Alligator mississippiensis: one gene and its partner. The protein of the gene in region 2 interacts with the protein of the main gene of each other region in a biochemical or structural test. Links are inferred from orthologs where the notes say so. Each region holds a gene or a part of one and is shown on either strand. Other genes may lie near its edges.

Evidence for each region.
Region 1: the proteins of IQGAP1 (region 2) and BRAF form a complex in vitro, tested with the Homo sapiens proteins (2 studies listed by BioGRID and IntAct). The link is inferred for Alligator mississippiensis from reciprocal best matches to the Homo sapiens genes IQGAP1 and BRAF.

The regions. Positions count from the first base shown.
Region 1 is NC_081827.1:109,984,793-109,994,867, forward strand, and holds the start of BRAF (serine/threonine-protein kinase B-raf), read right to left. Parts: upstream 5,240-10,075; 5' UTR 5,084-5,239; coding exon 4,955-5,083; intron 1-4,954. UniProt on the Homo sapiens protein: Protein kinase involved in the transduction of mitogenic signals from the cell membrane to the nucleus. Phosphorylates MAP2K1, and thereby activates the MAP kinase signal transduction pathway. Phosphorylates PFKFB2.
Region 2 is NC_081834.1:411,666-422,648, forward strand, and holds the start of IQGAP1 (ras GTPase-activating-like protein IQGAP1), read right to left. Parts: upstream 5,192-10,983; 5' UTR 5,131-5,191; coding exon 5,076-5,130; intron 1-5,075. UniProt on the Homo sapiens protein: Plays a crucial role in regulating the dynamics and assembly of the actin cytoskeleton.

The sequences.
Region 1 (10,075 bases), on a different chromosome or scaffold from region 2:
ATATACCTGCTAATGTCTAAAAGTATTTCCAGGCTGTGTTCCAATTGCTCCTCCTCCTCAGCAAATATATTTTACATGCTGAACTTAAGTTAAAGTATAACATCCTATTTAAATGTTAGGCACATTTATGGTCGCATACAACACACATCATATATAGTACGTGAACAGGAGTGAAACCCTGTTAAGAACCAAAATAAGATATACTCCAAATGACATGAGCAATGAAATGCAAAAATTATTTAAATCTCTGTAGCCTTCCAAGGCACATTTACATGAACTATAACCTCACAACTGGGGATTGGTTTTTGTTCTGTGTTTCCACGGTGCCTAGCATAATAAGTCTTCTAGGTATTACCAAAATACAGGGTAATGGGGTTTTTTTTAGACTGTCTGTATCACCTCACAGTCACACTACTTATTTGTTATTGAGGTCACAAAAAGAGTTTCTTTCCTGGATTTATTTCCTCATTTGTATGCTATTTTAAAGTTTCTATGCATGTATGAATTAGACATGGGTAGAATTTATCATGCCCAACCATTGAGTCCAGCAGCTCTGGGTCTCTTTTGGGGAATTCCTAAGCCTCTCATTTCAATTCTCTCACCAAGTGAACTGGAGACCCTCCAGTGGCAGCTGCTGCACAGGGTCCTAACAACAGGCACCTTTATCCACCACTTTTACCTGGTGGCGTCAGTAGCCTGCCCTTTCTTCATGGAGGTGGCGGAGGAAACTCTCTTCCATGCTTTCCTGGACTGCCGTCTGTTCTGGCCACTATTTGCTGTCAACAGCACCCTCTTCGGTGCACTGGACTTGGACCTCTCCCAGATGGCATATGATTTCTCTATCCTGCACCAAGAAGCCAAAAGGAGCATGATCTGCCTGGCCAAATTCCTGCTGGACCAAGCCAAGATGACCCTGAAGAGCTGCAGAAACAAGCTTGCAGGGGCTGGCTTCAGTGATGCCCTACAAGTCTTTTATTTCCTGGTCTAGGTGCATGTTACATTTGAGATGGACACCACCTTGCAAAAATGTGAAGTAGTTTGTGTTGCACTGGACCCTCAAGGGGAAGTATTCAAGGTAGAAGACAGACAGACAGCTAGGGGAGGGGGTTTCAATCTCTGGTGACACATGCATTTCTGTTACTGACAAGTGGTTCACACTCAGCCCTGGGGGTGAAGGAGGGAAAGGCACACACTTCTGCTCTTTCACTTTCACCTTCTGGGTTTTTTTTGGTTTTGGTTTGGTTTTTTTTAAGAAAGGTTTTTAAAAAGTCAAAAGTCTCTCTCTCAAACAGCACAATGCACTTTAGAATTTGATCCTAAGCACAGGGGATCCGATTTGAATTATTTAAATAATTATGCAAATAAGCCACAATGAAAGGTATGAAGCCTTTAATCCCAGCTGCCATGCACTCCAAGTACCTCACATAGGCAACCCCTGACACACTTCACTATATCAAATGATCCCTTGCCCAAAGAAACCATCCTGCAGTGAAGCAAACTAAATTAAAAATTCTATAGTCCAAAAGCTTACCCCAGAGTTTAGTCATTTCTACTTTTCCTCCCATTGCCAACAACTCTTGTTTTTTTTTTAACCTAATCTCCCCTAAATGCACTTGCCTCCAGGATCATCAGCTCCCTGTCTCTAGGAAGTGCATATTTCATAAGCACACAACTATTTTTCAGTGTATGTATATAGCTCTGTAACAAGAGTTAAACCTGCACTATGGTTCAGATTAGAGAGACACTAGCCATTAGCTATTCTCTCTACAGTTTATCTTCTACATACTTTGTTTTATAAAAATACTTTACTTTATCAAAGTACTATATACACAACACTTCATTATGAAAGCAGTTTTTATCCCAACAATTATGGCTACAGAACCAAAAATCAAAAGCAACAACTTCAAGTTGTCTTCAGACTTAACAGTAACATAGGCATAATTTTGTTCTCAAAATCCCAAGTCTTAAAATTTGGGAAATAGATTACTGCAACTTTAACCAATGGTCTCATAATAAAGTATTATGCTTTTGCTCCAGATTACCTACTATGCTAAAATAAAAAAAACTGAAAGATTCACTTTACAAATTTATGAGAGTCAAATTCTTTTCCCTACCTATAATATGACAGGTAGGCAAAAGATGCTGGCAAATTATAAAACTGTAGAAGGAGAAGACTTTACAAAAAAGCTAGATTTTCTGTACCATTTCAGAAAGTCCAGATTTGATCCTTAAAGGGACAAGAGATGACCTTCACTTTTTTCCTGAAGCCATTCAACATGTAGAGACTAGCAAATGAAGTTGTACTTTTTTGATAGGGCTCTACGCAAGAACTTACAATTGAAACCTTCATCGTCTTTAAGAGAAAAAGATTTTTGTAGTGAAATTATTTGATGGGGAGCTCAACAGAAGCACGAGGCTACTAACTATCCTTCTGCATAGCAGACAGTTTGAGAAGGAAGAGAATAGTTTCCTATCCCATAGTGCACCAAGCCACTGTAAAGGATGTGTGCAAAGCACAAACAAAAACAGTATATGTTCTTGGTTAAATTACAATATTACAACTTTTGGATGAATGTGGTCAAGTGGAAAACAAATATTTTTTAAAACCAAGACATAACCTGAGCTAAATTAAGTACATTTATTATGAGGAAACATTGGCCATAATTATAATGTTTGTTTAGTTACTTTTTAAAACTCTTATTCTCTTAAAGCCTAGGTACAGAAGAATATTTACATCCTCTTCAGTCTATTAGATATGAAAATCTGGTTTCTACTACGCTAGCCATTCTCTAACCTAAAGCAAAGAGGTCCAAGAGCAGTTACCAGCAAATAGTTGTAATATTTATCTCTATATTTTATGATTACTATTTTTCCTCCTCATATTATTCAAAAACACAAACAGATTAAAGCTGCTATGAGTCACTTATGAGAGCTTTACTATTTTCACAACTTTTATGGTATTCAGTACTCAAACTATACTTTATAACCTCTTATCTTGTATGGAATAAAGTCTCAATTTTAACCATGCCATTAGCAAAGTTTCAACTACAGAAATTACTCTATGGTCTACTACAAAAAATAATGCTATTAAAACGAGTTAGACAAAAGTGATAAGAGGATGCATGAAGAGATTTGACTTGGAAGAAAAAAACTGACAGACAAGGGATTGAGGTTGCAACCCCAGCCCTGCCAGAGACCCATTCTATATATCTCAGTTCTCATCTCTGTACAGCATACTGTAAAAACATAGTACCTAAGGCTGTATGATACATAACCTATATCAGTGAAATACTGATATTTCTGGATAGAAGGTATTCTAAATAAATACTGAAGTGTTTTACGGGAAGAAATATGGCAACTGACTAACAAAGTAAATCTGTATTAAATAGTTCAGGACTAGAAGTAAAGTCATTAGACTGTACTACAGTGATTTAGGCATGGGTGGCCAACCTGCAGCACACATTCCAGGAGTGGCACAGGCAGCCTCTGCGCGTGGCAGGTGGCAGATAAGGGAGGGGACAGGCAGAACTGTGGTGGACAGGCAGGGACCAGGAAGCTAAGCAGCACATTGGGCAGGGGAAAGGGATCCAAGTGACACATGGGGAGGGTGTGGAGTTAATCTGCCAAATACATGGGTCCCCACTAGACTCCGGCAACCAGGCTCCTCACATACAGAAACTTTTGACGTTTTACCAAGGCATGTACTTACTGAGAACATAGGAAAAGGAAGACAAATTAAATACAGGTGGGAAGTGAATGTTCACAAGTTAAACAATATTTAACTCCGGTTATGAAGGCAACAAGTAGTTTAGACCTGAATAAGAGGCTTCACCTGGATATATCTTAACTTCCCCAAACACCCCCACTGTTATTTTTTTAACTGATTAAAAGCACTAGACTAGGATCAGGATTTATGGACTCTAAACCCAGCTGTACAACAGACCATGCATGTGACACCAGGCCACTTGCTGTGGCAGCGGTAGGAAATTTAGACCCAAGCACTCTGCCTTTCTACGCTGCCTGCAACCCCAGCTTCTCCCAATGTTTTACTGACAGCAACAATTTAAGTATCACCCTGCCAGCCAGGTGTATAGCATCTCCTTTCTTTCTTCCCAGGCTGTGAAACCATGAAAAGAAAGATGCAGGAACCAGGAAAGAGAATGCAAGTGTCCTGCCCACCAGCCCAGTGCACTTCTTTCTAACCATGTTTCCTGTTCTAGGTCAAATCAGCCAAACCATATCAATTTAAGCAGAACTCAATCGTTCCAAAAACTGTCGACTGAGCAGGCTGAGCTCCATCAGTCCGAACCCCATGTCCGGCGCTACAACCAGCGACACGACACGCGCCATCCCAGACCTATCCCCCTGGGACTTCAGATACTCCCAAAACAATTGGCAGGCAGGCATCCTATGTGCAGGCCCAAGCCCAGAGGTCTTGGGGTGCAGATGCCCCCAGATACTCCAGGTGAGCATCCTCCACCTCAGACGCTTCAATCCAGGATTTCGGATACTCCCTCTGCTCCCTCAGCCCACAAGAGGCCTGCTCACCCAAGCAGCTTGTCTGGGGGCAGCAAGACACGGGGACCAAGGTCTTGTGTGCCCCCACCCGAGCACTCCCACGGAAACGTAGAAACTGAGGCTGGAAGGGGCCTCACTGACCCCAACCCCTGCTCAAAGCCAGATCAGCCCCAAGCTCACCATCCCACCCAAGGCTCTGACACTTAAAACCCCCCAAGCCTGGAGATACACCCCCCCGAGCCCCCGTACCTGTGTTCTGCCCCCCTCCTTCACAGAAAGTTCCTCCTAATGCCCAACCCCAACTTCCCCGCCGCGCCCTTCCCGGCGGCCCCAGCCCCAGGACCGCGGGCCCCCCGGGCACGGCCACCTGCTGCCCGGTGGGAGGCCCGGGCGCGACCCCTCAGAGACGCGGGCTGGGGGCCTCGGCCGGCCTCACCTCCTCGGGCACAGGCGGCTCGGCGCTGCCCCCCGCGCAGCAGGGCCCGGCGGACGACGGCTCAGGCTCCATGTCCCCGTTGAAGAGCGAGGCCCCCTCGGCGCTGCTGCCGCTGCTCAGCGCCGCCATCTTGGCTCGGAGCGCCCGGGCGCGGGAGGGAGGGGACAGGGGAGCCGGGCCGCCCCCAGCCGCGACCCGTAGCGGGAGGGGGAGGGGGCACCCGAACCAGCCTGCTCCTAGCGGCCCGCGCCACCGGCACGTCACTCCCCGCCCGTGACGTCACCCGGCAGGACCGTGGCGCCCAGTGCGCATGAGCCGCGCAACGTCATCGGGGAACACCCTGACGTCACGGCGCAGCCGCACGTCAGCCTGGGGCTGGGGGGCGCGCGGCGTTCCAGGCCCCTCCCCGCGCACGGGCTCCCCTCTGTCTCGCTAGCCCTACGCGGGAGGGCTGGCCCGGACCCTCACTGCTGCCCCAGGGAGCCTCACTGACTGATCCTCTTCCCTTTCCGCGCACCTTCCTCCTCTCTCTCCACTACAGCCCTTTCCTGCCTTACCGCCCTCCCGACATGTTAGGCTTGGGCCCAGTGCCCAGACTCACCATTGGCCTTTCTCCCCTCCCCATACATAGGTCGCTTTTCTCCCTCTGAAGACTGTTTATTCCTTTATTCCCACATGCGCCTGTCTTCCTTCACCTCCAAACTGAATCTTCTCTTGCAACTTGGCCACAGAGGCACAGCTGTCCTTCAGGGAGCCCCTAGCTGTCCTCCTACCTTTGTCCAGACTTGAGGTTCCTTTGCTATGGGGTCATTGGCAGCGCGTAGGGGGTGCATGTGTACCCCTTGAGTGGGGCAGCGCATCCCTTGCAAAAAGGCACTGCCAACGCTACCAGCGGCACCTGCAGGTGGTTGCCGCTCACCCCTCTCCACAGGCCAGGGGTACTTTGAAAGGTCTGGGGGAGTACCTGGGGTGGGGGAGGCAGGGATGGAGAACTGCCACCCCATGCTGCTGCCTCACAGGAGCAGGGACAGGTCAAGAGCAGGGCCACACGGACACTGTGCTGCCACCACTCGGCTGCTCACCATGCCCCTGCTTGGCATCCAGCCACTTGCCACCAGCCCCCAACTCGCTCAGTGACCAGCTGCTTGCCATCCCCCTCCCCGCTCTGCGTCTGGCCGCTCGCCATCCCTCCCCAGCAGTACACTTACTAAAAAGGGAGCCACTGGGGGTACGCTTATGAAAAAAGGTTGAAAACCCCTGCATCAGGTAATCACATGGAGGCAGGATTTTGAACTCTTCTGGGGCTGGGTCCCTGAAAGAGAGAACTGAGAAGGCCGAATGCTGTTACAGGAACATTGGGGAAGATTTGTACCTTACAGATAAACTAAATTAAAGATATGTATAGCACAAGCTGTCGTGGGCTGGAGCTCACTTCAGCAGCTAGCCCATTTCCCAAGAGAAAGTACAGGGCGGTTTAAAAGCAAGGCTAGTGCCTGAGGAGTCTCAGATCGTATACAAAGATCGTATACCACAAAGCAAGCAGCAGCTAAATAAAGGCTTTTAAACCTTTATACCAAACATTACATAAAAAGGAAAAGACTTCTGTCCTATTTTAGAGAGAAGGGCTGGGCTTTCCTTTGAAGTATGTAGGCCGATTTTTTTTTTGATTTTTTTTTAATAACCACTGCTATTTGGGTGCATGGTCTGAAGCACTTAACGCCTCATGTTCAAACATACCAAAGGAATGTGAACACCATTGACTTAGATAATCAGGCCCGGAAATCAGTGGGAAATTGCAGAAATATTAGTGGGCAAAATGCTGACCTTAACATTAGCTATCGAATGTTTGGGAGCAAAAGAGCTAGCTCGAAGTTTCTGGGAATGTACAATCATGACTGCAGGTATTTTCATGGGTGAAATGTACATCAATTCTGCAATTTAAGCTAATACAAGTCACGTGGGTATGAAGGTCCAGTTGTAGATGCTGTTGCAGAACAAGGGTTTAAGTATCAAATATCCAAAGAGTCTAACGTTAAGCTTACCTAGACTAACCTTGTCTTTGGCCCCTTGAGTATATCTCCTTACAGTACTGTCCTTAATTATGTAACATATGATTCTTCAATTTATACTTAAAAATATATAGTGTAGAGGTGCTGACGGTTATTAAAAGCCATATCTGAGAGGGAGAAGAACTTCTCCATCAAGAACTACATCCAGAAACATAATGATCATGAAAACTGCTTTTAAACCCAAAACAGAAACATATTGCAAGAAGCTGCACCTATCTACAATAGTTATGAAGTATATGAATGTACAATTTGAAAAACAACATTATTGGGTTAGCTAAGACATTATATCTTCATAGCTATGCATGGAAGAACAGTTTAAGGGATATACCCAACCTGAAAAAAAAATCGCATTTTTGAGAGATTTTTGTATATGTCATCATCATCATGATTAAAGCCTATGATTACTCAAGCTGAAAGGAGTCAGCAAAGCAATACAAAAATTGTTTCTTGTTTTTAGTTTGTGCATTTGACAGCTCTTCAACCCTGTTCTTCCTAACATTTATGCACATGCTTCACTTGCATATTTTAAACAAAGTTTTCTTGCGATCAGGGATCTAGTAGCTTCCTTGCTGAAGATATCCTCATGATAAATATTCAGTGGGTAACATGAAAAAAGCAAAATGCACAACAAACCAAACTCAAAGTATACTACTTAAAGGGTATTATAATCTGGAATATTTTTAATCAGTCAATTAAAAAGAAAACACAAGTTCATAAAATGGGTCAACATATAACCTTTGTCATTTTCTTCTGACTTTTGGGTGCTTAGCCATCAGCTTTTTGTATTAATGTAATTTTTGAACGTTGAACACTATTAAATCTATATAATAGATTGGGTTTTAGAAGTCACCTTTCACATTTGAGTTATTGCTTTGTAAAAACACCTGGCACTGAGTTAGACATTGGGAATGTTATAAGTGTTTAAGCAGCTGTAACAGCCACTTACTGTATGCAGTCAGCAATAGCTCTCCTACAGCTTGGAACAGTGGGACCTTTTTTATTATGAGAAGGAACTTTGGAAATGAGTCTGGCCAAATTTATTCCCTGTTCTTTTGAAGTGTCGTACAATATTTATCTACTACCTGGCCAGCCATAAAAGATATACAGAAGGTACATATTTAACATTTAAATGTATTTTAATGAGTCTGATAGACTACCTCTGTTAACAAAACACCTCCCTAATAGGGCATCATAGCATCCTCACTGACTGGATAGGATCCCATGATTCTGGGTCAGAGTTGCCCTGGAGTCCTACACCAGCTAGACAACACTGCACAGAAGAACCAAAAATCAAAACTAAGTTACTTGTCATCAAGTTACTGATTTAGTCCCTAACAACCCTATTTTGTAGCGAGACATTTGAAAAGACAGTAATCGACAATGTGGGATAAGAATCCAAAGTGTTGGCAAAGAAATGTGTGCACAGACTCTGGAAACAAAAACAGATTAAGAACTGAATGTAAGCTGAATAGACTGTTGAGAGAAATTTCCCTGTACTTGTAAGGAGATTAAAAGAAATGCAGTAGTAAATTCATATCTAGTCAAACTCCTGGGGTAGCTGATTTTAGAGAAAAACTGACTGAGCCAAGTTAATTCATGGAATAATTCCATGTATGCAGTGGAATTTGTGTCAGAGAAGCTTTTGGCTCAAAAGTGCAAAACAGTCATAAAAATTTATAGGGTATTTTCTCACAAACAGTTTACAGTGAGGATATCAATCTAGCAGGAATTATAGCAATCTGTAATTTGGTGAAATACATTTTCCTGTGCCTCTGATAATCCCACATCCTTTGTTCCTGTGCATTCAAATTGATCAGGAGGTTTGCATTCTCACAGAGCATGTTAGTCATGCTATGTTATTATTATTTACACCGTGTAGCACCTTACTGGCTGCAAGTCTGAGCCTTCATGCTGCCAAATGAGAACCAAAGTGAGGAACAGAGCCAAAATTTACCACCCAATACATATGATGTGGACAAGGATTTTTGTTGGCTTGTTTTTCTTTTTAACTAGAAGAGAATTGAATGCTCTGTGATGATTGGGCAGGGAGAGAGGCAGAAATCTACTATTCATACTGCACCTCCTTGTTGTCTAGGAAGGTCCATATTTAGTGAGGAATTTAATTTACATTTAATTCCATTTTACATAGTGTAATTTTTGGTCTCAGCTTAAATCTATAAAGAAGATCTATCAATGTCAAAGCTAACTGCTTTTTGGTGATGTGTAATTCTGGTCCTTGATACCCCAACACAGTTTGAGGAGGCTATTAAACTACTTTTTGTTATTACTTCTGTTCATTATTAACATGCAAAACCCGTGACCTAGAGGTAAAGGACTCTTTTCTATTACCAAATCCTTAAACCACCTAGACTAGTTATTCTCAGCCAGGGTTCTTCTGTGGTACCCTTGGGTGCCTTGAGATCCTTTGAGGAGTGCCACAGGAGGTATCAGGAGATAAGCAGATAAGGGCAGGCTCAGGCTCTCCCTGCCTAACTGCTCCCCCGCTCTACTGTTCAGCCCCTTTGCAGGGATGCAAGTGCTGCAATTAATTAGTTTTTGAAACTAGGTGCCACTCAATTCATAAAAGGTTGAAGGGGTGCCTCGAATCTAAAAGTTTGAGACCCACTAACCTAGACCACTAGTTGATTTATTCTTAGAAAGTAGTATAGTTAGTGTAATTTGTATTTTGGCAAGTAACTCAGATTTGTAAATACAATCAACACCCCCCGCCAAAAAAAAAAAAAACCATCAAAAACCCCCAAAGTCACTTCCTATGGAGTTTCCAGCTATGTAGCATTTTGCGGGGGGACAGGGGGTTGGAATTCTAAATTTTGCCTAAATTCTGATCAGACAACTAATGTGGTTAAATCATTGAAGGGAAAGACACTCATCTTTCAGGTTACCCAACAGAAGATTTTGTTGATCAAAGTAACACATGCTTTTTAAGAGAAAATGTTGTACCTTGTCAGTAGAAAATGAGAGAGTTAGTTGACAGTCTAAGCCAATGTAGAAATTTGAAGACATGACTACCCTTTCCCAGATAAATCAGTTT
Region 2 (10,983 bases):
AGGAGAGGCAGACAGACAGAGAAAAGACGAGAAGAGAGACAGACAGACAGACAGAGAGAAGAGGAATCGGGGAGAAGGGGAGAGATGGATGTGGCCTTTGACAGGCCTCCAAAACTCATTAAGTGGCCCTCCAGCTGAAATCATTGCTCACCCCTGGTTTACAATATAAGCTGACAAGATAAAGGAAGGGAAGGAAGGGAAAACACGAAGAAGACAAGTGAATTGCCTAAGTTTTCTTGACAAGGCAGTGAAAGAAGAGGAAACCGAACTCATGTCACCTGATTCCCAGGCAAGAGCCCCGTCCCAAGTTACCCAGCTCACAGCCAGGAACCTCATCCACTGGACCACACAGGTCCTTTGCGCTGCTCTCATTCATCACACCTCCAAACCATCACTAACGAGTGTTACAGCTGGCCCCAGATTTTCATTACCATGAAGCAAGCACAGGACTAAGCTGACCTTTCCATTAAAATGAAGCAAAATACAATAACCAAGCAGTCAACCTCCTCGCTCTCCCCTCTGCTACAGGTCACTGGCACAAAAATCTTGTCTTCTCCCTTCACTGAAGCAACCCTGCCCCTTCTGACCGTTCCCACTCACTCGTCCAGGTCCCCACCCCTCAGCGGCAGCCCATTCTTCCCCTTCGCTATGCAAGCGCCGTTAAGCATCTTAAACTTAAACCCTCGTAAAACCCGGGCATCCCCCCACCTATCTCCTTGCTTCTGAAATGAAGGATTGGAAAGGACCTCCTAGATTAGCAAGTCCAGCCCAGTCCTCCGTTAGGAGACTGCATCACAATTCCCTTCATCGGTGTTTGAGCCCTGACAACGCGCTCCCAGCCCGCGCTGCCTACAATTACCGCCTGGAGCTCCTCTCCTTCAGCTCTTCCCTGGGCTCTCTCCAGTTCGGCTTGGAGTCTGCATGGAGACCGCTCTCGCTACAGTCTCTAATCGTTCTGTCCTGGGAAAGCTCAGAGCCAGCCTTCCATCGCATCCTCCTCGGCCTGTCAACTGCCTTCATCACAGTCAACTGCGGCCCACTTTTTGACCTCTTGTCTTCCCTTAGCTTTTGTGACTCTCCGTCTGCTTGCTCTCCCCTTCCCTCTCTAACATTTCTCTTACAACATCTTAGAATCACAGAGAAGTCAAGCTGGCAGAGCCCCCAGGAAGTCACATCTAGCCCAGCCGCCTCCCAAAGGCAGGAACATCCCTGACTGAAGCATCCTACACGAGTAGATAACTTGCTCCTGAAAATGTCCAACAACGGTGACCCCACAACTTCTCTATGCAGCCTGTCCCAGTGCTTGACCACTCTCAGAAAATCCCTCCTAGTCTCCAACTTCAATTTCCCCTGCTGCGTTTGAGGCCGTTGCTCCCTATGGCCACAAAGAAGTCTCTGCTCTTCATCCTCTCTTTAACTATCCTTCAGGTATTTGAAGACTGCTATCAAATCCCCCGTCTTCTCTTCTCCAAACAGGAGTCATGTTTTCCAGGCTTCATCGTTTTGGTCGCTCTCCAGTGGGCTCTTTCTAATCTGTCCATGTCTGTCCTGAAGTGCGGGTCTCACTACTGGCCCCAGTACTCCAGGAGAGACCACACCTGCGATCTGCAAGTGACACTCCTCTCAATACAACCCCGGGTGTCACTGGCATTTTTTTTTGCAGCAAGAGCTTACTATTAGCTCATGTTCAGCTTACAGTCCACTTCAACCCCCAGGTCCTTGTCTGCAATCCTGCAGCCTACGCAAACATGTGCATCCTCCCTTCAACTACCCCTGGGATATGGAAGTCTTGGTAGATCACAGACTCGGCATGAGTCTGCAGCATGATGCAGTTGCACAAAAGGCGAATGCAGTTTTGGGATACGGTACCTGTAATTAAAGCGCCCGGAGCATCTCATGCAGTGGATAAGCATTGGTCAGGGAGGATCTAGACGCAGCTACTGCCATGCTCTACTGTGGGTATTTCCCAGGCTTGTGGGCTTTGCTGGGTCCCAGATGGGGCTGGGAGGAAATTTTTCTCCCCCTACTGCTGTGTGTTTTAGGGGTTTGTTTGGTTTTTTGCTTTCCTCAGAAGTATTTTACTGGGGTGTGCCTATGCTGCTGCTGGGACTTGCACCCAGAGGCTCCTGGCTAAGGCCAGACCAACACTACGCTGGGGGGTTTACCTTGCGGTCAGATTCGTACAGACTGGGGGGGGTCCATACACCTTCCTCTAAAGGGAGTGGGGCCTGGCTCTCTTCTTTGGACCTCGAGTGTTTTTTAACAACCGTGGGACGATGGCCGCCATGGCCCCCCTGCTTTACCTGTGGCAGGTTCAGGTGTCGTTGTGTGACTGTGTCACGGCTGACCACGCAGTTTTGCTGAGAGGTTAGCTAATGGATTTGCCTCATGCAGGTGACTGGATTAGACGACCTCTGGAGCATCCTTCCAGCCCTGCTTTCCCACGGTTTTGTGATTCATACTGGGAGAAGCAAGGATTTCTAACAGCAATGTCTCTGACTGGACCACCTGCATAGCTGGAGTAGTGCTAGACAGGATTTCAAATGAACACTGTCAGTGTCTAATCTTGGCTCGACCGTGAATTTTTGGGGAAGTTTGAGATGAAGGGGGAAGATGACAACTACATAATCTGGTAACATGGATATCTGCACGCTCCTTCTGACCCAAAGTGAGCTGACAGCACAACTGCTGTTATAACACTGTCTGATGCTTCCTATTTTATGGGGCACAACTTCAAACTTTGGCTATTTAGGCTGAAATTCTGCATACTGGTCGCTAACCTCAGGCTGAATCATTCTGAAAATTTTCAGACAAGGAGGTTCAGCCATTTCCAAGAATAAGTGGAAAGAAAAATATATTTTGCCCATTTTAAAATAACCTGATGACATTAGTTTTAAGAAGCTCTAGCACTGCCATACTTTTGAACAGGAACTTGGCATTTGGTACATGGGTGGCCTTTACATCAAAAAAGTGCCTTTTGCTGTCCTATGAAAACCCACCCAAATCTGGTCAATCTATAAATCCTTTGGGGGAAAGGGCTAAAACTGCCCTTCACAGTGGCTTAGTGATTTTCACAGCTAAATCCCAAAAAAGACTTCAACTGCATTTAGCAGGGTCTAATCTGGGGTTTTTAACATAATTAAGCTGCAGGCTGCCATTAATGGAGACAGGGCTTGTGCAACACAGTCTCTCATTTCACATCTGCATAACGATACAGTGTTTAAAATACATAATCACATACTATTATTTCCTAACTATCCTAGACTCATTTAGCATGCAATTAGCACCTGTACTCCTGTTTCCACTACTACTAAACAGAGACCCCTCACCTTACTCAATATACATAGCGTCCAAATCTAACAGCTGGAGCTGGTCCTACTTTGAACAGGGGGCTGGACCAGATGTCCCTTCCAGCCCTCATTTTCTATTTACCCATTTACACACAGGCATATTCAAAGTAAGATCCATTTGCTTCTATGCAATTGTGACAATTTAGGTCTCAAAGCAGCCATAACCCCACAGGAGCACTTTTTCATTCTCTTGGAAGCCAAGCCTCATCCCCCTTCTAACCGGTACTGAGAATGAGACCCGGAGCCTGTGCAAAGAAGGGTGCGCAGTCACGTCCTTCACCATGCAGATACAGAAGGGGCAGAGGTAAAGTTAAAACATTAACGCTACAGTTTATCAGCTTTTCAATGTTAAAAATTACATTAGGACTACAAACGGGAACAGATTATGTATCGATTCAGAAAGGAGACAGTCTCTTTGTGCAGAAAAAAGGAATCGTCTTGCAACAACCAAAATGTTCTTGTATCAAATGAAGCAAGAGGAGACATATGGAAGGGCAGCCGGGCGTCTGACGCAGGCGAGTAGGAGGCACGAAGAGAGAACCGGGCACCTCACGCCGGAGAAGACGTGCGTACGGACTGCAGCCCATCTCCACCGCACAATGCTGGGCTGTTCACATGGGACAGGGACGCACACAGGAGAAACTGGAAACTCCACCATGTTCAGATCCTAACCCTGAGGGTCTGTGCAGCATCTGCACGTCGTAACAGGCACCTTTGCGCTCCTGTTACTTCAGGAGAAAGGCTCTAGGAAGAGCCCAGGTGGCATTCAAGGGACTGGAAGGGGCCAGGTGAGAGCGTATAAGCCCGGGCCCGAGCGGGGGCAGGTATGGGAGGAAGAGCTCCCACCCGGGAGGGCAGCAGAGGAGCCCCTGACTCGCACCAGGGATACGCTTGAGCCTGGGAGTAGGGCAGGCAAGTAGAGTATTGTGGACCTGCCTGGAAAACACTGGTGGTTTGGGCCTGGGACCGGGGGTGGTGGAGGGCCAGAGCCCAGGAACAGGGCCGAGGAAGAACGAGAGCTGGGGCTGGCGAGAGCCAGTCCCAGAGAGGGCAGAGGCAGGGCTACAGAGCCCGGAGCAGGGCCTGAACTGAGTCATCGCTGGCAACATGTGCCAGGCCTGGGTGCAGCTGGGAGGTGAGGAGGCCAGGAACCCAGCCCTCCAGTGCTGGATGAGCAGGGAGAGGTAGCTGCTGAAGGGGGATCCCCAGGCAGCCTCCCTTCCCGGGCTCGCACGTGGGTGACGGCCTGGCAGGCGAGGAGGGAAGCCGGCCCCAAGGCCTGGGGGAAGCCAAGGCCGAGCACCCGGGGCCGCACGGCCACCCCACACGCCCGGCACAGGCTGCTCGGCGCTGCCACCCAACGCACGAGCAGCCCCCGCGCCACGGGGGGAAGCTGCCCACGCGACACGGCCGGGCCGGGCCGGGCCGCGAGACACCTGCCCGGCGCCCCGCGCCCCCGCTGCAGCGCGCTTCGTGCTGGCGGCCCGGGGCTCAGCACCGCGCCCGCTCCGGGAAGGGACGGGTGCCAGGGCCCTCCGTGCGGGGCGGGGCGGGGCGGGGGCTGCGGGCGTCTCCTCCGCCACCGCGCGCTGCGGCCGCTCCCCACGCCACGCGCGGGCGGGTCACCGCGCCCCCCGCCCGCCCGTCCGTCCACCCTCCCTGCCTGCCTGCCTGCCTGCCGGGCGCGGTGCGGGGCGGGGCGGGCGGAGCGGAGCCGGTACTCACAGCCATAGTGTGGCCGGGCCACCCCGGGGCCGTCCGCTTCGTCCGACACCGACATGGCGGCCGGGTGCGCTGGGCGCGGGGCTGCGCTGCGCTGCGCTGGGCTGCGCGGGCGGGCGGGCGGGCGGGAGCGGCGGTTCCTGTTCCTGCTCTGCCCGGGCGTGGCGGCGGGGAGGAGCCGCCCGCGCCCGCGCCCCGGATCCCGCCCCGCTCCGCTCCGCTCCGCTGCCTGCTGCGCCGGGCCGGGGCGGGGCGCTGGGCGGCGAGGGCGGGCAGCCCCGGGCCGGGGGGGAGCGGACACAAGCACGCCGCTGCCCCCGTGCACGGGCGGGGGGGGGGTCCAGCAAGGCCCCCGCGCGCCAGGGCAGCCACCCCGCGGGCCGCACAGCTGCAGCCGCCTCCTCGTGCGGGGGCGACTTTGTTACAGGCCCAACAGCGTGGCGGGCGGGGGCTGTACGAGACCCGGTGGCAGCCCGCGCCGTGACACGCCCTGTCCGCGCACCCACGGCACGGGGACACCGCCCAGGCAAGGTGTGACTCGGCGGTGGCCGGGCGGTACCAGCACCTGTTCTTGCAGCACAGATCTGTGCCACGTTTCGCGGAAGAGGGGTGAGCGAGCGGGTCATCAACGGGGCAGGCAGCCCCACACTCGTGCCAGCGCCGGCGTGCCCGCCTCGGGGCACACGCTGGGGAAGGGGCTGGGGCCGCACTGCCACGCCCGGGCGCAGGCCCCTCGGGTCCCCTGCCATGCATCCCAGCACCCCGACACCTTACCAGTCCGGGTCGTGCGGGGGCTTCTGGCGCTGCCCAAAAACGCTGTGGGCCCCGGCGTAGATCGTAGAGAACTAGGGCTGAAAGAAACTGAACAGGTTTCTTGAAAAAGCATTAGTTGGTTCAGATTTGGTCCAAATCTTAGGTTTGCCCACCCCCTGCCAAAAACCCCCACTTTTTTATTAACTCATTTCAGTTGAATACTTCCAGCAATGGTTGTTGTTTCTAAATCTCCCGGTGGAAGCAGGAGACACTACCGTGGCGTGCGCACGTGGACACAGGAACGTGGGACCGGGCGACAGCTCCTGGGTCGCTGAGCCTAGCAGTGTCCTGCTGCTGCAGGGAACCACGCCGCGTGGTCGCATCCACACACTGATGCTCCATCGTAAAACGAGTCCCGTTTCTTGCCCCCACTTCTCCTATTGGGAGGCTCTTCCAAAACCTCACTCCTCTGATAGTTATGAGCCTTCTAATTTCAAGCCTACATGATTCACAGCTACGTTAATCTCCATTCATTCTTGTGCCAGCGTTGTCTTTTATTTTAGACTGTTTTCTTTCCCAGCCATGATGTTTACCTCCTTCCTGTATTTACAAATTACAGTCACATCACACTGCATCTGTCTTTGTTTCGCTAGATTAAACAAACCCAACCGTTAGGCTCTCAATTCCCCAGAGCATCCCAGTAACCCTCGTCTATACCTGTTCCTGTCTGAATTCCTCTTTCAACTAACTGGAATCGCATGCAGTCTTTCCGAGGTCTCGCCAGTGCCCTGTGAAACTGCAGTATCGCACCAGAAGGCAAAAACATTGTAGAAAACAAACCAGGCCATCTACCTGGGCAGCACCATGTTACCAGGAGAGAGCTCAGTGGCATCAGAGACGGGAATAACATCCACATTTATTCAGCTCAACAACACCTGCAAAGCAAAGATACGCAGCACTGGAACCACAGTGGAGAGTAGTCTTTACAACTCCAATATAATCTATGCTACAGCAGGGCTGCAAGAGCTGGGGATTTACCACATTATACAGGAAACAGAACGTCCTCAAAAACGAGAACCTGTGAAAGATTGTGGGCACTGCACGGGCACTCTTCCTCGCCACTCAAGAGGTCCAAGAAATCCCCAGCCAGCAGCTCGCCTCCGCCAGAATCAGAGGGAAGCACTAGACATCTGAGGCATGTTGTTTCCGGATACCAGCACAAAGATTCCCACGTGAAATAACTGATGGGAGTAAGGAGGGCTTCCCTGGGAAACTTTCAGAACAGCCCTTACCAAGGAAGGCAGAGCAGTAAATCTCAGCACCATAAGGCAAATGGAGGCAGCAGCAAATGAGAGAAAAATTAAAGAAATGAATGCATGTCCTGTGCACCAGTGTCAATGGGGGAAGGCTGCCATGGAAATACCTCACCATCCCAGGATCACCGCCACGTCACAACTGAAGTTCTAGTCCAACAGTTCATTGTTGAAGCTTCTTGTAGCAGTGTACAAGCATCACAGGTTCTTCCTCTCTGACCTTGCCCAATTTCCCAGTGCAATTACGTACCTAGAATACAAAACCCAACATTTTAAACAATGGTTTTTTTGGTTGCAAACTCATTACTAGATACAAAGTTGCTTCAACGATTTTATATCTTCCCCTTTGTGCATATGATGCAGCTAGTTATACGATCAAACTCTGCACAGAACACCTACGTGATTCCAGTTGCAGGACGAATGCCATTCAGTGAACGAGACAGGACTTCTTTTCCTTCGTAGGCACTGAGGGGACTGCCTCCCAAATCTGGGAGAGGATAGAGGATTGCCTCCCATCTAAACCCTGCACGAATTTCCTGTGCCTCAGTGAAAACCCCCAATGTGGGGTACCTGAGATTTGATGGTCGGAGCACTTATTAGCGTTTTTGTGCATTCAAAGCAAGGTACAGACACCGATCCTTGCAACCACACCTCTGGGAAACTAGGGATACTGTAATCCCCACCTGACAGATGAGGAAGGTGGAAAGGAAGATGCAGGGATTTGCCCCAGGCTACACAGTGAGTCAGTGGTGGAGCAGGATTCTAACTTGGGACCTTTGATTCTCAAAGCCGTGCTCCTTCTACAGCTCCCAAGGGTGTCAGCTGCGTCCTGAGTAACCCTTTCAAAAACCAGGCATCGGGTGTCTCAAGTCTGGTGCTCAGGTAGCTAGGGCCATTAGTACCATCATTGTCCAAATGCCACCTCAGTTTGCTATGCTGCCAACTCTGGGTTTTGAAACAGCTCTCATTTTAACCAGAGCAAACACAACCATAGCCCAAGTTTTGCCCTTAGTATGTAGCTCTTCTCCTGTCAGGATCAGCCGTGCACTTTCCTAGCCTGCTCCTGTCCCAAAAGGCATCCTGGGTGGGCTTCCAGCGAGTCCAAACTCCTGTGCCCCGTCTGTCCAGAGGGAGATGTCTTTGTTCGATAAAATATCCAATCGCACGATTTGCTTACCAACTCATCCTTCGAGCTGCATGGTATGAGACGAGAGGAGCGCTGACTTTATATCATTTCACTACCTTTCCCAATGTCTGGCAATCTACTGGGAAAACTGAAACCTTTCCCAGAGGAGGGAATGTTTTATTATTCATTTGGATAGTGCCAAGTATAATGAGGCCCTGATCTTTGATAAGGGTCTTTTGGCACTGCTGGAATAGAAATGAATACACGTAATTAGTTGGAAAAGACTGTTGAAAATGGAAATGACTCCTCCCTTCCCTGTTTTTGAAACAATTTGCAAAGATCTGGCAAGTAGGCAGGGTCTCTGTTGCTGTTCTGTCCCAACGCAGCATCCTGCTCAATTGCATCCCTTTCTTTTTCCAACTGGGAAACAATCCCTAATTAAGGAACTATCCTGGGGCAGCTCCCGTGCCAGTTACATGGCAGCAGAGAAGACTGGGCGAGTCTTGGAAGTGCAGCAGGCTCCCCAGTTACCGTGCGCGCCCTGGCACCGTCAGCCATGCGCTAGGCACAGCGAGCTGGGTCTCTATCAGTGGTCTGAGCTGTGGCTGCCGCTACAAGCTCATTAACATCCAGAAGCAACCAGAGCTCTCACCAAAACCCCTGGAGAATTCAGTAGGCCATTTTCATTCCACTTCATCCAGCTTTTTGTCAATTGAAATACACTTCTGCTGCGGCCTCTTGGGATTTTACTATCCAGTATCTGTTTCAGGGACACTCTTTCAAAGTGAGTCTCTGGAAAACAGCTACATTTGAGGAAGAAAAGGCATTTTGATTGTAAAGGCCAAGCTGGAAATGAGATCCAAGCCAAATTAACTCCTCCAGCCCCACTGCTGAATTTTCCTCAAGTAGCATAATGTACGTAAAATGCACTGTCAATCCAGTTAATCTGTGCCTTAAAGAATTTGCCCCCATGTCTGTAAGGTACTTAGCGTGCCATCCAAGACTGTTTGGAAGGACAATTTGTGCAAAAGACACTCCCCCCGCATTCAAGAATCACAGCCACATACGCCCACTCAAAATGTAATTCCTGAGGTCACTCCCCATCAGGCTTCTGCTCTAGATGCCCTAGCTTGCTGGGCTTGACTTGTGAACTGCACAGGTCCTTTGGGCACATAGCAGAACCTTTCTGAGACAGCGATGCCCATCTGGCACTGGAGAGGAATACACGTAGGTGCAGGAGAGGTGCTGAGCTGAGTACAGGCTACTAACAATACTTTTGGGTGTCAAGGTCGTTCACTCCCTTTCAAGTCCATTTCCTTCTACTCTGCCTTCAGCTGCTCTTGCTGCTATTCTTTAATGCAATCTATGAGAAACTCGGGGCTATTTTGTTCCAACAACCCTGTGCCCAGCAACTCCATGGAATGCAAGGAGAGATCTTCTCCAAGCCAACACTTAGTTCCTGCCACTGCTTCAACGATCAATGGTAAAGCAGTGGGGAAGGATGATAAGGAATATCAGCCAGTTACCCCAAAGGACCACTCTCATCAACATCGTTGCTAGATTTCTATGAAAACTACCACAGGTAATGATATATTCAGAGTTCTTAGAAAAAATACTGTTTTTAATTGTATAGTGTTTGTCACCATGGTAACACACTTGGTATCTGCATGCACAGATTGATCACCAGAAGTTACTTGTTACACATGCTGCAATTAATTCATTTCAGCATTTCTATCGAATAGGTTCAGCACTGGTGGTGAGTCTGCATTAATACAGGGGACCCTGGCATTGCTTGCTCTGAAAACTTGGGTACTCCCATCTCCAGTTATCAAAAACACTGCTACAAGGACCATCAGATTTGCCTGCTGCTCTAACCACGTCCAACTCTTCTTCTGACCCTTGGATTCTCTTCATTTTCCACATCGCTGCTTGGGTACGTGTCATTTTCAATGTCTACAACTACAATGTCCCCTTAAAAGCTGTCCAGTTTTTGTGAGCAGTGGCTGACTTGCCACTCGCATTGTTTCCTCTCTGTCGGAAGAGCTGTTTCAGCATTAATTGCTGCAGCTTCTAGAGCCCACAGACCAACTCTGCATGCTGACACCACACTGAATCTGGCCCATGGAGCAATCTTGCCTACCGGATCAGCACCACTCACCTGGCCCACAGGACCAAAGGGTTGAGCACCATTGCTCTGCATCACTGATACAGTATTGCTCAGGGGCAAGAACAGATCTTTGCTGGACATTGCAAGAAATACCCCACACAAAGATGATTCCTGATCTACAGTTACTTTGAGATCTAGCAGTTAGCCTGTCTTAATCTAGTTAACATATGATGCATTAATTTTGTGCACTTTAAATTTTAGCGCTAATAAAAGTTTGAACCCCACTGAAAATCTCAGGTGCAGAAAGCATGCACAACCTACTGCGAACAGTCACATGTTGGTGTCTCAAGTGGGTGAAGCTTGGACAGATTTTATTATCTTTTTTGTTTTAGTTTGGCCCCTGGCTTCCTGTGCTCTTAACACAGTATAAAACCCTCTCAAGCCACTCCGGCTCTTCTTTGCACATCTTAAAATACAAAAAAGGTTTCTGTAGGAAGGACTGGGATAAATCTGTAGGGAATGACCTGCTGGGTGGCACGGAAGTGGAAAGGGATGTTGGAGTCCTAGTGGACTCCAAGATGAACATGAGTCGGCAGTGTGACGAAGCCATCA